5 linked regions of the Kluyveromyces lactis genome follow. The protein of the gene in region 3 interacts with the protein of the main gene of each other region in a biochemical or structural test. Links are inferred from orthologs where the notes say so. Each region holds a gene or a part of one and is shown on either strand. Other genes may lie near its edges. The genes, in order: RFA2, DPB11, MEC1, RAD55 and RAD53.

The links.
Region 1: of the proteins of MEC1 (region 3) and RFA2, one has a biochemical effect on the other in vitro, tested with the Saccharomyces cerevisiae proteins (6 studies listed by BioGRID). The link is inferred for Kluyveromyces lactis from reciprocal best matches to the Saccharomyces cerevisiae genes MEC1 and RFA2.
Region 2: the proteins of MEC1 (region 3) and DPB11 form a complex in vitro, tested with the Saccharomyces cerevisiae proteins (3 studies listed by BioGRID, with this or other methods). The link is inferred for Kluyveromyces lactis from reciprocal best matches to the Saccharomyces cerevisiae genes MEC1 and DPB11.
Region 4: of the proteins of MEC1 (region 3) and RAD55, one has a biochemical effect on the other in vitro, tested with the Saccharomyces cerevisiae proteins (2 studies listed by BioGRID). The link is inferred for Kluyveromyces lactis from reciprocal best matches to the Saccharomyces cerevisiae genes MEC1 and RAD55.
Region 5: of the proteins of MEC1 (region 3) and RAD53, one has a biochemical effect on the other in vitro, tested with the Saccharomyces cerevisiae proteins (10 studies listed by BioGRID). The link is inferred for Kluyveromyces lactis from reciprocal best matches to the Saccharomyces cerevisiae genes MEC1 and RAD53.

The regions. Positions count from the first base shown.
Region 1 is NC_006041.1:666,751-670,108, forward strand, and holds RFA2 (Rfa2p), read right to left. Parts: upstream 1,841-3,358; coding exon 1,157-1,840; downstream 1-1,156. Other genes in the region: GAS4 (1,3-beta-glucanosyltransferase), read right to left, coding at 1-791; KRI1 (Kri1p), read right to left, coding at 2,451-3,358. UniProt on the Saccharomyces cerevisiae protein: Binds to single-stranded sequences participating in DNA replication in addition to those mediating transcriptional repression (URS1) and activation (CAR1). Stimulates the activity of a cognate strand exchange protein (SEP1).
Region 2 is NC_006042.1:1,324,594-1,329,343, forward strand, and holds DPB11 (protein kinase activating protein DPB11), read right to left. Parts: upstream 3,279-4,750; coding exon 1,269-3,278; downstream 1-1,268. Other genes in the region: GWT1 (glucosaminyl-phosphotidylinositol O-acyltransferase), read right to left, coding at 1-963; SIP4 (Sip4p), read left to right, coding at 4,332-4,750. UniProt on the Saccharomyces cerevisiae protein: Has a role in the initiation of DNA replication. Required at S-phase checkpoint. Required for the association of PSF1 with origins. Also required for the proper activation of RAD53 in response to DNA damage and replication blocks.
Region 3 is NC_006039.1:1,371,389-1,376,595, forward strand, and holds the start of MEC1 (protein kinase MEC1), read right to left. Parts: upstream 3,356-5,207; coding exon 1-3,355. Other genes in the region: cyclin-dependent protein kinase regulatory subunit CKS1, read right to left, coding at 3,764-4,162; HSL7 (protein arginine N-methyltransferase), read left to right, coding at 4,520-5,207. UniProt on the Saccharomyces cerevisiae protein: Serine/threonine protein kinase which activates checkpoint signaling upon genotoxic stresses such as ionizing radiation (IR), ultraviolet light (UV), or DNA replication stalling, thereby acting as a DNA damage sensor.
Region 4 is NC_006041.1:116,847-120,781, forward strand, and holds RAD55 (putative DNA-dependent ATPase RAD55), read right to left. Parts: upstream 2,359-3,935; coding exon 1,117-2,358; downstream 1-1,116. Other genes in the region: RSM26 (mitochondrial 37S ribosomal protein mS42), read left to right, coding at 2,966-3,727. UniProt on the Saccharomyces cerevisiae protein: Required for radiation resistance and meiotic viability and presumably acts in recombination and recombinational DNA repair pathways.
Region 5 is NC_006042.1:1,025,412-1,030,577, reverse strand, and holds RAD53 (serine/threonine/tyrosine protein kinase RAD53), read left to right. Parts: upstream 1-2,007; coding exon 2,008-4,449; downstream 4,450-5,166. Other genes in the region: DGA1 (diacylglycerol O-acyltransferase), read right to left, coding at 1-419; DNA replication protein SLD5, read right to left, coding at 4,722-5,166. UniProt on the Saccharomyces cerevisiae protein: Controls S-phase checkpoint as well as G1 and G2 DNA damage checkpoints. Phosphorylates proteins on serine, threonine, and tyrosine. Prevents entry into anaphase and mitotic exit after DNA damage via regulation of the Polo kinase CDC5.

The sequences.
Region 1 (3,358 bases), on a different chromosome or scaffold from region 3:
CCAAATTCCGAAAAGAATACTGGCTTAGAGTAGTCTTTGTACGCATCTACCAATTTGTCATATCCTGAGCTTTGGAAATCCTGATCGCCGCACCACTGGTAGGAGTTTACACCATAGAAGTCCACAGAAGAATCATGAGTTCCTTTATCTTCGCATTCCAAATACTTGGATAATGATACTCTATATTTCAAATCATCAGCGGCCGAATATCCAACAGGAATTGCTCGAGGAGAGTGAGCTTTGATGTACCCCTTCATATCTCCCACCAACTGTTTAATATACGGTGGAGATCTCTGAGCAGACCTTTTGTCGTTGATTATTTCGTTTCCTGCAATAAAGCCTAACGTGTTATTATAAGGAATGAATTGTGCAATCAATTTGAAAACATGTTCTAAATAAATTGGATTATAAGTAGTCCAGGGTTCATATCGATTTAAGTGCTGATTTATTAAAGGTGAGTTCACGTCAAGGATTAGATATATTCCAGCACTTGCTAGCATTGTCATACATTTATCATGGTTTAGATCTGGATTTAACGAATAAACACGCACTGCATTGATTCCCAAATCCTGAAACAAAGGTATATCTCTTGCACAAACGGAAACATCTGATAAGGGATCCTTTTCATCTGTAACGTCACTAGATCCACCTGGTTGATAGTCAATACCTCTTATAAAGAATGGTTCATCTGTGACAGAATCATAAAAGTGTTTTCCTCGAATTTCTATGGGGTGTATATCAGCTAAAACAGAGGAGACAAAGAAAAGTACACCTATTATCAATCTATGCATTTTCTTGAATGTGTATGTTTATTTCTAAATTCTGTGTTGATTGTTGCAGGGATATCAGGCTTCACTGAGATTTCTGCATCTTGTATGATTGCAGATATGAATTTTTGTGTTTATATTTCTTATATTATAATCTGTCACTGACGCAGCCAATTACCAACATATATATGAAAAAATAGTAAATAAAATAACACATAGAATAACCGCGTCATCTTAATATAGCTAAGGTGACACAACGTAGTTCAGTACAGATGCCAATGATATATTTGGGATCATAACTGCTGATTCGTCGCCCAAAATGAAAGTACTTTTTTAAAATGATAATTATGATGTTGAAATCGAACTTATACACAAAAATATGTAAAAAATTATAAGATAAAGAAGGTGAACTCGTCGAAGGTAGGGTATATGTAACCTTGTTCTGTTAGAGTTTGACAATACATTCTGACATCATCTTCAATCATGTTCAAAGATTGAGAGATAAGTTTAGTCTGCACAGAGAAAGAGTTTGAATCCTTGCCAGCGCACTGGGCTCTGATAAAATCCAAAACTTTTTCAGTGGCTGATTTTGGAGGCTCGTTATCTTGTACAAATAAACTATTGGTTTCAGTATTAGCTCCGTTAACTGCCACCGTTGAGTCAACACTCAAGTTACCGTTAGCCACAGCAAATGCCTTAATTACCTCCAGGTGATGTGCTAGAATTTCATTGAATGAATCAATATGCTTTACTACAGCGTATTGTACATTCATCTTACCACTGAATTCTCTTAGAGAAGCGTATACCTTGATGTATTTCCCTACCGAGTAGTCTTGTGCTACTTGCGAGTTATAATCACCATTTTGGTCCTCTTGAGAGGCGTGCGACATATCATTGCTATCATTAGTCCATTTTCGGAATTCGATTTGCCCAGTCCCATCTTCAACTGTAAGAGTAACATTCGATGTATTATCAGCAACGTTTCTAATGACACCAACAAATGACACATGGTGAAGTTCTTGACCCATTATAACGTATGGTCCATCTTGAATTTGTTGCTTTGCGGATTGCATCTGTTTAATTGTCACAGGAGTCAAAGTGTTGGCATTTTGTCCACCGGAATTTGGTCTGGAAGATTGGCTTGGATCTGAGTTATCAAATCCACCAGCATTAATATTAGAATATTCATTATATGGATGATAAGCTGGATAAAGGAGGAGTGGTGATTAGTTTTATTGAAAGTGTTAGTAATGGGAACAAGACTGAACCTAAATAAATAGTTTCGGAAAAACATCGTAACGTACTGGTCATTGTGTCAGTTTTCTTTAGCTTCTGTTTATTGACTCCTTCTGCCGAAGATAACCCAGTTCTTGGTTATCCTCCATTGAATATCAGTTTTGCCATTCACAAAGCTCATATCCTCTCTTCAGAAGATTATGAATAAGTTACGCGTTTTCCCTTTCAAAGATTTGGTTCGTGTTTGGCAGGGTAATATAAATAAAGAATTAGTATGGCAGAAATCTTAGCACAGTATACAAGGACAAAGAATAATGCAAATATGTGGCAAGAAAGGATACTGTAACCAAGTTTAATTTCCTCTCGGCAGCAACATTAGGATGGAATTTGATGATTACAATAATATTTATATGTAAGTTAACTAAATAATGCTGAATAAGTTAATCTTTAATCTCTTCTCTTTCTCTTCTTATTCTTCAATCTTTCCTTTTCTTTAGAGGTTTGATGAGCTTCACCGTCGTTCAGAGGAATTGCTAATTCATCACCGGTGAGGCCTTCTTCGGTATTGAAAACTTTCTTTCTCCATTCCCTTAGTCGCCTGCTCTTAGTAACCTTTCTTCTATCCTTTGACGTCAGTTCTTTTGGTCTATATGGTGCAAACTTCTTCAAGCCGATAAACTCATTTAGATCGGCGTCATCAGCTGTGAATATTTCTCGCGTAGTCAATCCGAATGATTCTGGAGACACTTCACGGTATCTAAACTTAACTTCAGAATTTTTCTCTGTCGAACGTCCTCTTTCTTCTTCCACCTGCTCTATGATGTCTACCTTACGTTCGTCGACTGCTTTTTCTACCATCTCATGTAACTGCTTCTTATCTTTTTTTTTGTCTCTCTTCTCTTGTATCTTGTCCTTCTTTGATTTCTTCTTTTTTGGCTCTCCAGAGTCTGATGCCAAGGTCTCATCGTCTTCCGCATGATCCTCGGTTTCCTGTTCAGCATAAAACTCTCCCATGATATCGTCATTCTCATCCCATGTTGGTTTATCTTCCTGGTTGTAGAATTCGTCGTTAAAGATGGTACCGATGACTTCATCCCATTTCCCATCTTCGAAGTTTCCGTTTATTAAGGTATCGGTTAAGGCTTTGACATGCTCTTCTTTGATATCAGCACCATATTCTTTCTTTACTTGCTCTAAAACATCAGTAAGTTGGTTAACCTTTTCCTTCTTTTTCTTTTGGACTGCCTTTTGCTTCTCTTCTTCCTCTTTATCCTTAATAGCCTTTTCCTCATCTCTCTTTCTTCTACGAGATGAGGTTGCAGATCTTCTGAGTGTAGCTTGTGTACGTGCATAAG
Region 2 (4,750 bases), on a different chromosome or scaffold from region 3:
CAGCAGTTGCATTGGATTTCTGGAGATTGGGAAGAACATACTACCAACTTGCTGGCCAGCTAGGTAGATGATACAATAACCAACAAACGAAAAGATTCCTTCTCTATTCGCAGAAATAAAATCTATTCGTTCTGCATTTAACAAATAGTCCAGAAAGGTTGGATGGTATATCAGGCAAAGCTCGTAGATAATGGCTGCAATCAAACCTATAACAAATCTCAATCTCATGTTGTAGAAATCGAAAATAATCATTGCAAGGGGTAGTAATGAAAGGGTAAAGAAGAAGTTCCAATGGATACCATATTCGGTTGCATGTTCTTGATAGTTTACAGCCTTAACGGAAAACAAACGAATGAAACCCAATACCACTAGTACCACCGTCGACCTTAATGATTGTTTAATTTTAGCCCATTTGGATAATTCAGTTCCAGATTTTAATCTTTTGTAACTTATAATACCATTGCTGAATACAAACGATCCAACACCTAGATCCATCAATGAAATGCCCCAGGTTTCTACCTTGGCATATTTCCTAGGAAAGATAGGGAAATCTACAGCCAATATGGCAATGGAAGTTAAGATCAGCATTGTACTCCTATACACTGTGAGGGTTGCTGACTGGTTGCCATTGTCCATTACAGTTTCTTTAATCGTTTCGCGTTTACTTCCCTTAGATATACATCCAAATAATAGCACCGCACTTAAACCTAATATACCTGTAAGAAATGGGTTTTCCCCAAATACAGTAACACTACAGAGGAGACCCATCCAATTCAATAAGAAATCTAACCAGAAGGAGTCCCGGTAGCTGGGATTGTTCGAAACGACGTAGATCCAAGCGGCGTTAGAAAAAATACCGGCTAATGTGACATCTCGTAAATCTGCAATTGAACTTCCGGAGTGTCCGGTAACGAAAGCTTCCTTCCGGTGTTTCAATTCATCAATTACACCAGAAGCATCCATGGTCTGATATCCCCGAGCCTGTATACGTTTCTTGTACTTACTTCCTTTATTGAACCTTCATTGATCTAGAGCTTAATAAACAGGTAGAATGACACTTGTCAATATTTTCACTTTTAAAGGAAGCATGCACAGAAGAGTAAATCTGGAATATAGGTTCAGACACGTAAAAATGACACACATTTAGGAGTTAGAGGCACTTCTAAGCAGAATAAGAATGTTAATGATCTTGTTACAGATAATATCCGAATGGATATGTATACATATATACATACATATATATGGCGTGACGTAATAATACATGAGATTTATGAAACATGAGAAATGATGTCTTTAGCTTGGCTTCTGGTAGAAATCTTCCTTCTTTTCAAATTCTGCTGCACAGATGTCGACGTTGATGCTGATCCGTACGTGATCTGAGTATGCGAAAGATGGTCACTATCATGACCTACAGTTTGGATAAAGCTTGATTCCTCATTCTCTGTATCTACATTATTTGAAAGAAGTTTCCCCCAACGGTTCCCTCTATTTGGAACATGAGGTAGTTCTGCTGATGCAGAAGAGGCAGTTGACAGAGGTGCCGCAATATCAACAGGAGCGGGTTTCTCTAGCAAAGGATCCTCGTTTCCTCTTTCCTTTGGAATTATTTGTAGTGCAAAGTCAGATTTAGAACCCTTGGGACAAGAAATACACCAATTAACGTCATTAAAGTAGATGTTCATGGAAGTCTTATTAGGTTTCATTGCTCTTTGGAAGAGTTCAATGACAAAACTTGGAGTTAGGATGGGAATATGATGAGCTTGCTTAACGAATTCAATTTTCCGTTTCATTGAATTTCTAAACATTTGAGCTTGATTTACAGAGATCTTCATATCCAAATCTGTCCTGAACATTGACGCGTACTTATTTTGCCTTAAAGTATGTTCCTGTGGTATTGAAGTCAATTGGGAGATGTTAACGAGTAAGAAATCCGTCTTCTTCGTCAATTTCTCATGATGGTCAAAACCAATCAACTTCAAAAAGTCTATAATTTTATTGATGTGTAGTAATTCCACGCCATGGAACCCTGTGATATGGAAGGAAAGTTTAGGGCCATGTAACACCGATTTAGGTGGAATGATATTGAAATCGTTGTAGAAAGGTTTTGACCAAAAATCCGGAGGTAGGAGTTGTTCGTAATACAAACATCGTTCGATGAAGAATTCTGTCAACCACGATGATTCATTTGGGATTCTCGGCAGTAGATTTGCCGGAAATCCACTTGGACAGATATAATAAATGGTCTTATCCTTCAGCTGTGCCGGTGACGGTGATGTATCCTCGAAGAGGGAAGACGTTCCTTTATTACCGCGAATGACATTAGATAAGATAGTAACCTGTCTTTTTTCGAACTTGAATAGCACGAAGTGACAGTCCAGGAAGGTCGGTGTATCCTTTGTCTCACCAAGGCATTCTTGATGCGTTGGGGTGGCTTCCTTAATATCAGTGGACTTTGACGCTGAAGCATCACCATCTCTTGCCAATAGTTTCCCCCATATCTGATTCGCTTGAGGCTTAAATTTATCTATAGCAATCTTCAACGGATTCACCGAATCATCTTGTACACCCATGGGATTTGGTTCAGTTACAGATTTTTTCTTATCTGGAACGTCACGAATGTACGAACCAGAACCAATGTCAGAGTATTCAAGTTCATGACAATTTTTCAACAGGTAGAAAGATTGAAAGTCTAGAGTCCCTGATCTGTCCATACAATCAATGATCCATTTTGGATGCACTACGGGAACGTTCTCTTCTAAAGCAGCCTGGACACGGTTCCCCGATAAATCATCGGTAATAAACAACGAAATGCATGCATTGGATGACGAAGAGTTCCTAATGAAATGCGTGGTATCTACCGATTTCACTTTACCCAATTTACACAACTGAACCAACGACTCAAGAGAATAATGGTTATTAGGTCGTATTCTGCCAATGAACAAGTTAAATTTTTCAAACGACCCGATAGAGTACTTCGATTTTAAGTACTGGGACATATCGAATTTAGCCAACTGCAACAGATCTTCTCCTGCGAGCCACGCATCGTACAACTGATCAACGGATCCCGGACTAACAAACACGATATCAGTTCTATTCTTGACAGCAAAGTTATACTTTGCGGTGAATAACTCTCCAACAACCAATACGTTGACTAGTCTTGTCAAATCCTTGGTATAAGTCCCACCGAGTTTTGTCACTTTATGTGAGATGGTATCAGAAACCGACAACGGGAGAGACGTAGGACAGAACACCAGTCCTTGAAATGGTTTGCCGGACATGTTTGCTCTACTTCAGGGAGAATTGAGGAAGAAGAAGAAGAAGAAGAAGAAGCTATCTACACCTTTGTTCCAGCTTTTTAGACACATCATCACCATTCATATGTGAAGGAAGGAAGGATGGATTGGATATCTGTGTAAATACGCGTTTATGTGTGGAAAATAATAAACAGAGAAGAGTTGTAAAATGACATTTGTTTACAGGTCACGTGGACGAAAAACACAAGCTACCCAGGGTTACCCTGAGAAAACGAAAACCAAAACCAAAAATTAAACACTAACCACGTGACTACAGCGAATCTCCCCCTTCCGGCGCCCCCCCCGTCGAGTCATCATCCTTGTCAGCAACCGTCCAGCTGACTCATATATCTGTCACATGTGAAATTGCAAGAAGCAGGCAAACATCGCCACCCATACACCATTCGGACTTGTGACTTCTCCCCGTTAGCCTTTCATCCGGACAAATCCTTTCAGGTCCTTACTCTCCCTACGATAAACCGATATAACTGCACAAATTTTTTTGCTGACTACACGGAAAACCGCGCCTAGAACCGCTTTTTTTGTCCCCAAAACTTCCTTTCCCCAGATCCGGCTGAAAGGGACAATTGCAAAACTGGAATTACACACTACTAACGCATATTAATTAGCCCTCTTATATAGTCTATAGCATACCGAATACTGAATAATATGTCCAACGTCACTTGTGGAAATGTCACAAATGTCAGTTTCTGGGATCCATCAATTAAGGGAAATTCTTCAAACGTCCCAGCTATCTCGGTTATCTCATTGGTTTATTCTCTTGGCTTGTTAAAAGGTAGTTTCTTCTTGCCTTAGTTTCTTGAATTAGATTTCTCGAGGGTTTTTATAGCCAAATATTATTATTATTATTCATGATTCTGAATCAGATATATAAGACAAACGGACCTGGGGAAACGTTCTGCCATATAACCATGAACCGGAAGGTTTATGGTAGGTATCAGATGTTTTTTTTTCTGTTTGGAACGTAAGCTTGCTATAAGCTTCCTGTAGTAGCGCCAAGTATATGTATATATCACTATGCCAAGTGTTTCGCAGGATGATGTAAAGGGCGTGCTTGCTGGTAAGATGTCTACTGGTAATAGCAGTGATGACAGTAGCAGTCAGTCAGGTAAGAAGCGTAAATATGGGAAAGTCGACAAACACAATGAGAAGAAATTGTTGATGCCTACGGCATCAACAAAAGTGAAACGGTTTTCACAGGCATGTGATAGATGTAGGCTTAAGAAGATTAAATGTGACGGTATCAAGCCTAGTTGTTCCAATTGTAAGAAGATAGGGTACCATTGTTCGACTAGTGATAAGCTTACAAGACGCGGGTTCCCTAGGGGTTACACGGAGATGTTGGAGAACGAGGTGATTAAGTTGCAGCGGCTTTGTGGGATGGTGGACGAGAACGGTGAGACCGTGATTGATGGTGCAGTAGCTGCCGTGGCAGC
Region 3 (5,207 bases):
CAGGATAATCATCGGGTCTGTTAATATCCCAATTAACTGAACTGAGCCCACAATACTTCAGAGATTCTTGCATCACCAATGCAACGAATAGTTGTTTTGTGGGGTTTTCACTTTGCCAGAATGCGGGTACTAAAATGTTGTTTACAATACTGATTAAAAATTTGACTGTTTGGGAATGATTATTAAAGTCACAAATTTCTTCAGATAGATTAGTATTCCTGGGTAGAGCATGCTTGGTAACATCTAATAGTCCTATCAGGCTAATACATGATGCTGCTATTTGACAAATTTTGAGATCTCTATTTCTAAATTTGTAAGTGGAATCAAGCAATGCCCCCAATAACGTGGACAGGTGCGACGAATCGTCATGTTTTGTTACAACGTCGACATGTTTTCTGTGAATGGTTGTGCTGAAATACTTTTCCAACTCAAGCAGGGTTTGCAAAATGACATATCTATTGTTACTTCCGAGATTTTCTGTGAAAACCTTGAGCCAGTTGGTAGTTGAAATAACCTTCAAAACCTTACGAGCAACAGTGGGATGTCTCTCTAGGACCTGAAATTCTGGGTTATTTAAAAATGCGAGAAGTATGAATGGCCTTCCTTCAAGTACCAACTTTTGTCTATCTTTCAGCAACGTATCAAAAATCGCTTGGCATTCTAGCTTGCAAGAAGAACTAAATGTTGACCATTTCTGTAAGATCAAGCAGAACAGATCATTGATTATGGCTGTTATTTGCTCCTCATTCAAAAGTTTTATCAGCAAATGCCAGCATTCGAGTGTATTATGTTGGATTTCTGGTATCTCCGACCCTGTTTGTAAACATATACTCAGCTGAGCAAGTGCAGATATAATAGATTTCTTGGAAGCATATTTCATCAAAAAACTTATACCATTCAGTACTCGTAGTTTTTCATAATAAGAAGTTTTACCATCCGAATCATGCATATCATTCGAAAAAACTTGGAATATACCTAACACATTTTGCTCAAGTTTCTGCTGAAATTGTTCTTCCATTTCTTCGTTCCAATCTTCTATATTCTTAAATCTAGTGCCTCGTCTTTTATCTTTTGAGAAGTTTGTTATAAGAAGAAATCTTAATGAAGAGAGAACGCACCTTTCCGTTTCTGTAATTTGACCGTCTAATGTTAATATTTGTTTGCTCATCTTTAAAACTTCTGCTAATGTCTTGTAATCAGGCAAATATAAGGTAATATAATTCTTTCTAAATTTTGGCGCCGTATTTAGAAAAAGGGTTTGAATGGTTTCGATTGAAAAAAATCCATGTTTCACTAATGCTACTGCAAATATCTGTCTACTGTTCCTGTCTAAAAGCTTTAACTTCTTTTCCTCTACGAGAGATTTGTCATTACCGGACATGATACGAGCTACCTCAGTGATAACATCGCTCTTATATTGACCTAAAGCAGAAGGGACAACATATCTTTGAAAGTTCTCCAGTAGAGTCTTTGCAGGATAATCAACAAGTTGAACAATTCTCTGTAGACCTAGTTTCTTCTCAACCAAGCTTCTACCCATCTTTTTGAATAAAACAGGCAAAATTGGCGATAATAATTGGTACGGAGATTTCCCTTGAATTTTAGAGAGATACCGTAATTGTGCCGCCATCATTGTGTGCTCTGCGAAGTCACTCGAATTAAAAAGATCTATCAATTTCAAAAGCAAATCATCGAAGTATTCACTATTACAATTAATGATTAGGTTAATCCAACTCATATGTAAAGTTTCCGTCAAATATGGGGCCTTAGGCTTCTGAAGAAATATTATTAGGAATTTCAGGTTGATGTCTTCATACTTTGAGCCAAGGCTAGCAAAATAGGGAAGAAGGCGAACAGATAGAAGGCGTAAAAACCTTGATCTGCTATTAGATGCTCTTTGAAAGACCTGTAAACAACCGTAACCATCACTTTGTTGAATTAAGTCTGAAGTCTCTTCAAGTTTTGGAGGTTCAAATCGAGAAAATACTTCTATCAAAATAAGGACAACACCGGTGAGCATGGCTTCTGGCATATCTGTAATGGGTATGCTTTTTATAACGTGCTTGGCCAATAATTGAAATGCCAAAGACTTGTGCAATGGAACCAAGTTTAAAGATGATAGCCTCATATTTTGAGAGGCATTGAATTCCACCTGTGGAGATCTTACAAGATTGTTATTGACAAACTTTTCTTTTATAGCCAATTGTCTGATGGAATGCATCGAATGTGTCAATTTTGCGGTGTCACCATCCTTTATCGTGTTTAGTAATGATTCTTTCACCTTATCGTAGAAAGATCTTATATCAGCACTATCAGCTATACAATTTCGAACATTCCCAGAGACTAGACGTAGCTTCGGATTTTCTATGGCTTGATGAAGCCAATGCAATTGCTTATTAGAGAATGTAAACTCTTCCATCGATTCCAGGAACCCTAGTTTCACTGAAACGTATTTTATCGATCTAATAAACAGGGGATCAGCATTCTTATTCGTGTTGATCCATTCATGTAATTCGAATGTATTCTTGATCTCTGCCAACTTTGATTCGTCATGGATACAAAGGTACAAAGTCCGTAACAAAGTCTTGGCTAAAATGGTCGGAGAGATATGCTGATGATGATCTTTAATTAAAGTTTGTATGAGGTCAAACGAGAATCTGAATATTGACAATGACTCTTTAGATAAAGAGATGTAACGAACAAGTAATTGCAAGATGCTCGCAACTTCGACACTTGGTTCGTTAGTTGATTTCAAAACAAAGGCTAGCAATCGCATCAATTTCTGAAACTGACTTTGCCATCTTCTATAGCTGTAATTTCGAAGTAGTCCATCCCTCATAATCCAACCGTTCACTATCACTATTTTTTTCAAGAGGGAATGAAACGTCGGCTTCTCTAGCTTACCTCTCAGACATGTTACTAGTAACTTTTCATACTGAACCATTTGTTCAGTGAACCAAATCTGTAAATTGGAGGTCGATGCAAAAGAGTACGCTTTTAACCATGCACTCACGTATTTGTTTATAAGCCAAATATATTGCATATTGGACCAATGCATTAGCGAACAACTAACCATATTGTTTAAAATAACCTCGATCATAGTAATCTCTTTAACATTGGCTGAGAAAAGGTGTTGGTTGCATCGCAGAAATAAATCAAGTGCTTGAAAGGATTTGTGAAAGATCACCTCATCCGTATTCGTAGATTGCGTATTCTTCAACAATGTCTGTAGTAATTTCCCATTCTTTTCATCTAATTGCAAAGTGCTATCTAACTCTATACCATTTCCTACAGTTCCTGCTGATTTTAACGCCAGTATCAGTTCTTCCAGATATTTTACCCTAGGATTATCCATTTCCTATACGCTGAGAAGATATTACTCTTACACGGCAACTGCACTCTCAATCACACTCACCTAGGACGCCCTAACGAGAGAAAACTGTGTTTCTTTCATAGTCCAGCGTTTGTTTTTGGTTAGTTTCATTATTTATAATTTGACTTATATACAAATTTTGGTATCAATAAGGAATCTCAACACATACATAAATGTGGTATGTACATATGCTAAACACTTCTCCAGAAGTACAATTCAGGCGTCTTAAGCCATTTGCAAGTTTGACAACAGAAGACTAACTTACACAAAGTGTGCAGCCAGGAATTGCAGATCTTTGGGGAAACATTATTCTCTCTTATTAACAGTGTAACGCGTAAAACTGGAATACGATTTTCTTATTATTTCATTTTAAAGTCTTTAGTGGGTAGTTCATATATTTTGACTTTGTTGGCCTGCAGCAATTGATTTTTGCTGCTGCTGTGCGGCAGCATGCGCCGCACGTATTTCAGCCTCGTAATTCAGTGGTCTCTTAAATAGTAAAATATGTGGTTCAGGCGCATGGCATTCGTAATGTTCCCATCCCAGAGATTGTGTAATTCCTAACCCTCTCCATTCGTCTTCTGTTAAGATTCGCAAAGTACCAGTGTCTCCGTTGAAATAATCAGAAGGTATCACTTTTAGCATGGCCTTGGGAAGCATTACATGTCTGTATTCGTGTGTATCGTCGGAGTATCTTGGTGAATAATGAATGCTATCTTGAAATTCGAGAACTCTCGTTCTTTCCTGATCAGAAAGCTTTCTGCCTTGGAAAGCGTGCGTCGAATACATTGTTAGATTCGATCACAACTTAAGCTATACAATTGGAGTGTTAATTAACCCTAGACTACTGATGCTGGATCTTATTCGCTCATCACATATCATGTCTTTAGCATAACTGAAAAGATCTTAGGTATTAAAATAGTATTGTTTACAAAAAAAAAATGAAAATAAATATTGTTTAGGACAGAAACCAGATCCGTCACTATTGATGGTCAGAGATGAGGTAAAAGAATAGGACACAGAGCTATCACTGGTGTAGTGTCTACCATAATTACGGTATAGCTGAAGAAGGGTTTACCAATAAACGTTTGACTGTTGTTGTGAAACTGTTCTGCGTGCTGCGTTTGTGTGTTTGTATGTGCTGAAATGGCAAGTCGAAGTAATGTTTTCGTCGGGATCAAACCTCACAGTGAACATTCCGCTGATGTTCTTGGAACTTCTTCTACAGATAAAAGAGTAGAGAATTATGACTATGTGCTGCTGCCCTTGACAAATACCAGATACAAGGATGCCATGAAGGCCAAGTTTGAAGATTTTCGAGATCACGGTCATGGATGGAATGAAGAACTAAAGTTAGATCCTCCTCAATTGCAAGAGCTGGGGGTATTGCCATCTAATGGAAATGTTTCATATATTGGATTGGTCTCTTACTTTTTAGAGCTCGAGAGCCATGATGCTGATGTCCGGACTTTATCTTTGCAAGTGTTGGAGCACGAATTGCATTATGCAAATTTCGTTGGAATCAGACAGGTTATCTTAGCTCCTCCTAAAAAGTTACACACGCTTCATTACTACGCACAATCTTTGTGTACAGTATTTGATACTTTTAAAGAAGCGTGTCCGACAATATCTATTTCGTTACCTTTGTTTGAAGATTCAGATCCACTTTCGACTTGGGAACTGTGGAACACGATCAGGAAAATGTGCGGATACGAGCCTAAATTGACTGTATCTCTAGCTCTACCTAGACAGAAGACTCCCAGTTTTGTGCTAAACAGATGGCTGAGCGAACCTGTCACATGTCTTTTGATCTCTGCATCCATATTCACAACAA
Region 4 (3,935 bases), on a different chromosome or scaffold from region 3:
TAAGTTTTCTTGCTTATCTAGAAGATACAATAGTGAATCCTGATGTTACAGCTATAACAATACAGATTATTCAACAGGAAAAAAAAGTGGAAGAAGGGATATATTATTCTAAAACTCTTGAAACAAACCAATGCCTTATATACTTTTCAGTCGGCCCACTCATATCGCTATTCTTATCCCCTTGCTTTCTTCACCTGGCAATTTATTTTAGTCACAAGATCTACGCAATTTTTTCCCTCTCCATTGCAGCACTGTCATACCAAAAAAAAAAGATGAACATGACAATAATAGAAACAATCTTTGTCACAACAAATATCCACTTTAGTCCAATTAAGTAAAATCGAGAATAGTAAACAAAAAATGGAGTTGTACGCAGATACAGCAGAAACCCTCAAAATAGAAGCCGTCATCCCTCAAATGGCTCTTCCCAAACAATAAGCAAAATCTAATTATCCAGTCATTTCTTCCTGTTTCTGCGTAATTCCATACCCGCATTCGGTTTGGCCATATTAAAATGGAAGCCGGCTATTTTACAAACAACACCTACAAGGACATATGTTGCTTATACAATGGAGCTAAGTGGGCCGATCACAGATTGCTCCACCTCAGAACCTTCATTGACACTTTATGACAGGTTGGAACGGCTGAAACATGTAAAAAACAAGATTAGCTTGTTAAATTCATATCTGTAAACCTAGCAGTAACAATAAAAGCAAAACAAACAAATTTTTCCTATTTGAATTCCAATAATAGAAAAGTTAGTGGATTCAAGGTTCAAGAGCTCTTAAAACCGGCCAATGAAAACCGTCCCATGTCGATTACTAAAGTTGGCATAGATCACGTCAGATCTATTTTGATGCCCTTTGGGGATCTCTCGAAGGAGAAAATGGAAAAAAAAGACACATGCACCCATACACCACATCATTAGTAATTTCCATGATCTCTCTTTTGGTTTCCGTGGAGATTCCTGGAAAAGCGTCCGATGACGAATGTGAGATATATTGGGCACCACTCGTGACCGTATCTAAGGAGGAAGGGCGCAATTCTTAGTTGCATATTTTATTCACTTAAAAGTGACAAAATTAGGTCGGCTTCCTGTTTGTAATGTGTTCCGTTCTATCCTTCACTATCATATATGATAGCGTCGTTGTCAGTGCCTTCAGTTCCATGAGTTGCCACAATGTTGTCTGAATGAACGATTCGTGGTGTAAACTGGATTGATTGCGAAGAGTTTGGTGTTACGGGCTGACTGTGACTTTGAACATCTAATAGCATACGGCTCGGACTTGGCTCCGTGTATAAAACCCGTCTTCTCTTGTTTGGGGGAAGCACCGGTGCTGCGGCTACTGCAGCAGCAGCAGCTGTCGCACTTGAGGAAGTGTTCGTAGGAAGAAGATTGTCAGTGACAGCAGTTGTTGGGTTTTCTGCGACTATAGTTGTGTGACAGCTATAAAAGTTCCCAGATTCATTAGTCTTAACCCAAACCAGTTTATTCTTCGAGCCCACTGGCTGTTGATGTTGTACAACAAACTGCCGTGATACCTCGGGGATGATTCTTTTCTGGGAGTTAGGATTCTGCTTTTGTTCTGCATCCCAATTCCAGAACACACCGATCCTGCATCGAAGAAACACCTCCCAACGGGCATCTTTACTTCCAACGGCTGCATTTGCTACTAATCCACTCTTCAACACTTGCACGTGACGTTTCCGTTGAGATTTCACGAGGAAATTGCTAAAGGAACCATCTGAGTGGGTTCCGTTGCTGGGATCGTTGTATGAGACAACTGCATCGTCTGAATAGTCCTGGTAACCTGTGTTCATAGCGTCATTAAGTAATACCACCACCGTATTGTTTGAAGTGGCGTATTTAGTTATGGTGACAAGCAATTGTATCAAACTTTTCACCTTGAAATCGTGCAAGGTCTGTCGATGGTTAGAATATCCACTGTTCTTCTCGTACATATGGAGATACTCTACCAAAAGCTGAGATAAACCATCGATTATTATGAGCCCGTACGTCTCTTTTAAATTCTGAAACATGTACCACAGTTGAGCAAATTTCTTCACTCTTGCGAATTGGCACCCTTTGAAATGGACTTCGTCCTCATCTCCTTGCTCTATAAGCTTCAGTGGTACTTGCTGGAACGTGTCAATCCACAGACATTTCATCCTATTCTGATTATTGTTCACTAATTGTACCGCGAACTTTGTCTTGCCAATTCCTGGAGGTCCGTAAACCTCGTAGATACTCTGTGGTTGGAATCCGTCATTCAATGAATCGTCTAAACTCTCAATGCCACTTCGTACATGATCTGCACGCGCTTGTATCAGTTGAGACAAAGGTACACCAAATGACATTAGAATGCTATCAACTAATCACCAAACGCGTCCACAGTTTCTCCTGGTTCTTCAAGCCTTTCAAGACTATGTATAACTAGCCTTTTAAATCCGCATAATTCACCTTTAGGTGTAACTAAAAAATGTCATCAAGTCCGTAGACAACTCAGCTCAATAATGTTTGTTTTATTTACCAGGTTTTTGCTGTGATTATGTTATTCAAAAATATAAAATAAGAAAAGATAAGAGGGAGTAATAATACTTGAATTTAATCATTGAAAGAATTGAAATTAAAAACTCGAAGGTTCTTCCCACGAATCTCCTTGTCTACCTCTTGTCGGATTATATCCTACGGGTGTATCTTATTTGGACTTTATTGATTATTAGTCTAGTTCATTAAGCTAGAGAAGATAATGAGTTCCGGGTAACATTTCAAATCTTAAAATTTTTCTTAGCATTCAACATTGCCGAACAGGAAAAATTGAAATCATTTCGACTTGTATCAATTCATGAATCTAAAATGCATAACTAGAAAGTCTACTATTTCTTGCTCAATGCATCCTATTTACATTCTTCCTAGAGTTTCGGAACGATTGATATAATTGAGGCAACTAACTAAAAATATTTAATGTCAATGTTTGGGCGTCAACTGTTCAGAGGAATACACACAGTTCCAAAGATACCTGGTATTTCACAACTTTTGGATTCAGGCATCCCTCATGTTATGAGCGCTAACACATTCAAAACTTGCTGGGTTGACCAGCAGCAGCTTTTGTGCGATAAGCTAACACTGGCATCTGCAGGAACTGCCGCAGAATCCTACTTGCCATTCCATTTAGTACTGCACACTGCGAAGAAATCATACCAAACAAACATTTTCAATTTGGCTAGTGCTTTGCACAATAACCATTTGTTCATAGAAAACATATTGCCTATGGAACAAGTTACACATCCATCTCGTGAGTTTCTACAGAAGCTAGAATCACAATATTCAATGACTTGGGATGCTTTTAAGGATGAAATGGTTAGACATGCAGAAGAAGATGTGTTAGGTCAAGGATGGCTATTCCTTGTGGAAAATGATGCCAAGGAACTTCACATCCTAACAGTTCAAAATAATGGTACTCCATACTACTTTGCTAGAAACCAATCTTTCGATTTGAACAGTGCTCTATCCTTAGAAGAAATGGAACAGTTTGTAACGATGAGAGATCTACTTGCCGCAAATGCAGACGTTAAAGATTGGACAATGCCTTTGATTGCGATCAGTTTGTGGGACCATTCATACTTGAATGATTACGGTATTAAGGGCAGATCCACTTACGTAAGGAAGTGTTTAGATAACTTGAACTGGTCTGCGGTTAACAACAGATTGTTCTCCACACAATAGGAGTATACCAGTACTTCCAATCATAAATAGACTGTTGGCTCTCTTTAAAATATGGGTCTTAATTACATGTACATAGTCACAAATGCAATATAACCGTTTGCGAATAGCTCACAATCCTCTCTCATTATTAGCGTATCTCTGGTTGATATAGGCAAGAGCGGATAAGGTACGGAAAACGGTATTCAACTAAAACTTCAACATCAAGTAT
Region 5 (5,166 bases), on a different chromosome or scaffold from region 3:
GAATCAATACTTGTAAATGTTGGCTCGAGTTCAGTGCTTTTGTGCATACTTATAGGGAAGTAATCACGGAAATAAAACCAGACCTTTAGAGATCGGAACCACTTGGAGTGTCTCTTCACAGCGTTCCCATTGGAGGCAGTCCGGTCTATGAAATAATAAATGGTGTATGGTATTACAAACGACCACATCAACGGGTTAACCCAAACAAACAACATTATGATGATCATTAACGGAATACATTCGACATACCATGCTACGCTGAGAGTTTGAAGTCTCCTTTCTATGGGCGTATCAATAGCACAAAATTCTGGTTTCCCATCTTTGGAGACCCCTACTACAGAAGATTTACCATTTGCCACGGGTTGTGAACCCTTGCGTACCTTTTTAGTTTGTCTCTTTCTGATTTGTTCCTTACCCATCTTGTTCCAAGCCTCGAAGTAACTTTAATTACCTAGCAGCGAACCTTCTCAAAGTAAAACAGATAAGCTGATATTTACGTCTATTCTCAGAAGTAAATGATATTAGACGTTCAAGTTCAACAAAAAATGAACCTGCCCAGCTTTTGTCGATTAATTGTATCTTTGTTTACTGAGGCAAAACATTGCCTGATGTCGTTTTCCTGTTTTAAAGCAACTTTTTCCCTTAAAATAAAACTGTCAAAATCGTAATTTAATTGAGATCACTGAATCTTAACGTTGCAAGCTGTTGCCAATTGTACTGGTATGCACCATACCTATCAGTTTACATGGTTTTAGGGAAGTAATGATGGGTAGTTAATTTAACAAAAATATTATGTAGAGGAATGCATCTTTCCTATACAATGTCCAATTTATGAACTAGTAGTAAATATAAATAGACTTCAAAATCTGACGCGAAAGACTACTGAGCCCGGCTCTTGTATTTAAAGGGTTTCCTTGGGAAAAACTAACGGATGTAGTAGACTTTTTATCCAGTCCTGATTCTGGGAACAGGTCATTTAATTAGCAGATAGAATGGTAAGAAACTTAACATAACGTTATGGAGGTATGTGAGATTAATAATTTACGATTTTGTTATTTACCGTAACATTACGGTTAAAGTTGACGGTATGATTTGAACCTTCACCAGTAGATCAAAGCTGATATATAATTTTACTACATAGCTATCTCGTTGAAGGACATTATTGCAGTATTAATAAAACGAAAACTTATATATATCATTTCTTCAATCGGTTATGGGGAATTGTCTTAACGAATGTTTTAAACATGAATAGAACCTAGTTTTTTCAAGAAAAGGCTCTAACAGTTCAAATACAATAACGTTATATGAGCAAAATGCAAAGAATTTCTGAAAATTCGGAGTGTTATGCTTGATAGCAACCATATCGATTTATAATCTTTACTTCCATCTATTGATAAGTAAAGATTTTAAAGTCTTTGTAGCATGACTGGAGTTAGAATAAGAAACAGCTGATACAAGTTATTCAACCATGGTATTTACTAATTGATGCCATATGGATTGTTGCAGTATAAACCGGCTTCACATAGTTCTGAAGAAGATTCGGCACCAATCACCTGATGCCGCAATGTGCCATAATAGAACTTCTATCAATGATTCCGTTCTATTTACTCAAATTCCCACTCCAACGTTGTAGCAGTGCCGAGTAAAGACTGATCCATCTTTGATCATTGGCTTTGTATATATGTATGTACTTTTACGCGTCATTGTAATATTTAATGTTCATCGAATATTTACGCGATTTAAAGGTTGACATTTTTCTGAAATAATCTGGATCTTTGAATTGCAAAAGCGATCATACACATTATGAAAGAACGATTTATTCCATTATTCATTAGCTTTGTGTTGGCAGTTTAGTGGGTATACACAGTCACAACCGACTATAGAATAGCACACTTGTGAAAATCGTTCTATATTGAGGCATTAAGTTGTCCCTTTGAGGTTTGCCGTTACCTTTCCCAGCCTCTTTAGAGATCAACTGATCATTGCTGTGCAAACGAAGATATTGACATGGATGATATAACGCAACCGACACAACAAGCCACTCAGGCTACACAGAAGTACCTAATAGATAAGTTTTCTCAGGAGAAAATAGACGACGATGTGGTGTGCAGAGTAATATGTACAACTGGTCAAATAAGTCTACGGGACTTGAAGGTTCAACCTGAAAGTATATTCAAAAAGGAATCATCAATTAAAAAAACATGGACCTTTGGAAGAAACCAAGGATGTGATTATTATCTGGGGGATATTTCAAGACTGTCCAACAGACACTTTATGCTAATGCTGGGTGAAGAAGGAACTTTAATGCTGAAGGATACATCAACCAATGGAACATGGTTAAATGGAGCGAGGATACAAAAGGATACGAATCACATCTTGACCCAAGGGGATGAAATAAGTGTTGGAGTCGGCGTTCCCAGCGATGTCGTTAGTTTAGTGATTTTCATCAACGATAGTTTCAAAAATAGACTAAAAGAACTCAATATGATGAAGGATGTGACTTCACCTGCTTCATCTTCAAAGAGCAAATATCAGATATCAATGGGACATACAGAATTAAAAGGAATACACAAATACTATTCGATATCAGATTCGATTGTTGGTCAAGGTGCTTTCGCTACTGTGAAGAAAGCTGTCGAAAGGTCAACAGGCAAAACATTTGCGGTCAAAATAATTCATAAGAGAAAAGTAATGGATAAATTTGATGGAGTGAAGAGGGAACTAGATGTATTGCAGAAATTAAATCACCCCAGGATAGTTAAACTTAAGGACTTTTTTGAAGACAATGATAATTATTACATGTTGATGGAGTTTGTCAGCGGAGGCGATTTAATGGATTTCGTAGCAGCCCATGGAACTGTAGGCGAGGATGCCGGCAGAGAGATAACACGACAGGTTTTAGAGGCAGTAAAATACATGCATGATCAAGGAATTAGCCATCGAGACTTGAAACCTGATAATATAATGATAGAGCAAGACGATCCAGTTCTTATAAAGATAACCGATTTTGGCCTGGCAAAAGTACAAAATCAGAATACATTCCTGAACACTTTTTGTGGTACTCTAGCATATGTTGCACCTGAAGTTATAGACGGGAAAAATGCTGAAGATAAAACTAATCGAGATCTGTATTCCTCACTTGTTGATATGTGGTCAATTGGATGCCTAGTTTACGTTATTCTTACAGGTCACTTGCCTTTTAGTGGTCAGTCTCAGAATGAATTGTTCAAGCAAATAAAACGGGGCTCTTATCATGAAGGACCATTAAAGGATTATAGAATATCCGAAGAGGCAAGAAACTTCATAGATTGCCTGTTGAATGTGGACCCTAAAGAAAGAATGAACGCAGGAAAGGCCCTGCAACATCCATGGATGAAAATGGCATACGTTGATAGCATGCAGTCACAAATATCCATCTCACAATCCTTGTCCCAGCAACAATTTGTTGACAGTATGAATGAGGCTGAATACGAATCATACATTGCGAAAAAGAGGTTAGAGATTATCAAGAAAGAAATAACGGCGCCTGCTGCAGAAACTAATAAAGAGCCTGTATTCAAAAAACCACAAATTGCACCATCTAAAATTGCACAATCCCAAAACTTGCAGTTTAACTTTTCAAATCCTAATACTGGTAAAGCTATTAATGTTAATTATAAATCTGGTGAAGAAGGACTTTCAAACAATAAGAACAAAAAGATCAATAGACCACTTACAAAGGTCAATGGGGAGGGGCTATTTCTCACTTTGCATTCCTTACCTGGCTCATCTATTTCAGGTAAGGTCCAAGTAAAACAAGGGATAAATCCATTCTTCATCGGTAGGTCAGACGAATGCAACTGTAAAATTGATGATAATCGTTTATCTAGGATACATTGCTTCATATTGAAGAAAAGACACGCTGTCGGTGACAGTATTTATGAATCTCCAGCTCAAGGTCTTGATGATGTATGGTATTGCCAAAGTGGTACTAACTCAAGCTATGTTAATGGAAAGAAAATCACTCCGGGCACAAAGATCTTACTTCATGATGGCGATGAAATCCAAATTATATGGGATAAAATCAATGATGTCACTGTTTCTTTCCAGCTTGAGTTCAATGATACCACTGGTTTGTTCCACGAGGGGAAGCTGGATACCAATGAGAAAACAAACAAGACACTTCTACATAAACAGACACAGGAGGAGTTAGCTTTAGTCCCTAAGTTTATGGAATTTATGAAGTCTAGATCATCACAACATGCCAAATCTAATATAAACCAGTCCTCTTCCAGTAACATAGATGCCAACTCGCAAAATATCGAGGAATTAGATTCTGTCGTTGAGATGAACTCGACTACAGGATTGAAAAGAATACATTCAGTGTCGTTATCTCAATCTCAACCGCAGACAACCAAAAGGGCTAAGCTTGCCCAAGCCCAGAAACCAGATATTGAAGGATTTCTCTGAGCTGATCATATGCTTGCCGGATGGGTTTTGCATACAGTAAATATGAAAAATAGGTACACTTTGAGTATGCTAGATAGACTTTTCAACGTTAATTGATGTAATACTAATACAAATTGGTTCAAAAGCACTATAGACCAGCAGTCAATAACACTAGGTAGAAAACATGCTGTGTTCGCAATAACATTGTTGAGAAATTATTGCTGGCAAACATTCGTTACAAACCTATATTTTTCGAAGAGTCATAGGTTCAGTAATACTGTTCAGAATTTTCATTATATTAAAACTACTCGTCCCTCAGTCATGAGATCTCGTATTACACTATAACGTATTACGTATACTGCCCCGATTAATAAGTAAATTTCTTCATTTAAATCTTCAATAATCACTGAGTAACAGTGTTTTCCATCATCATCGGTCGTTAATTTCGAATCAATACCACTTTCGTCAACTACCCCACCACAAACTAGTATAAATACAGTTTTATTCCAATCGGGTTCATCAATCATACTGATGGAACCCTCAGTATCGTTAACGGCTTGCAGTTCTTCTGGTAAGTGCTTAAGTACTGCGTTGTTAAACAGTTTTAGTAATATGTCAGAATGCTTCATATGGTACTTCACCTCTTCTTTGGACATCAATAAATCTAGTCTGCTGAGGCCCGCATTATTGGGTAGTTCGGATTGTTGTCTTAGGTAAATGCTGTATTTGTCAATTTTG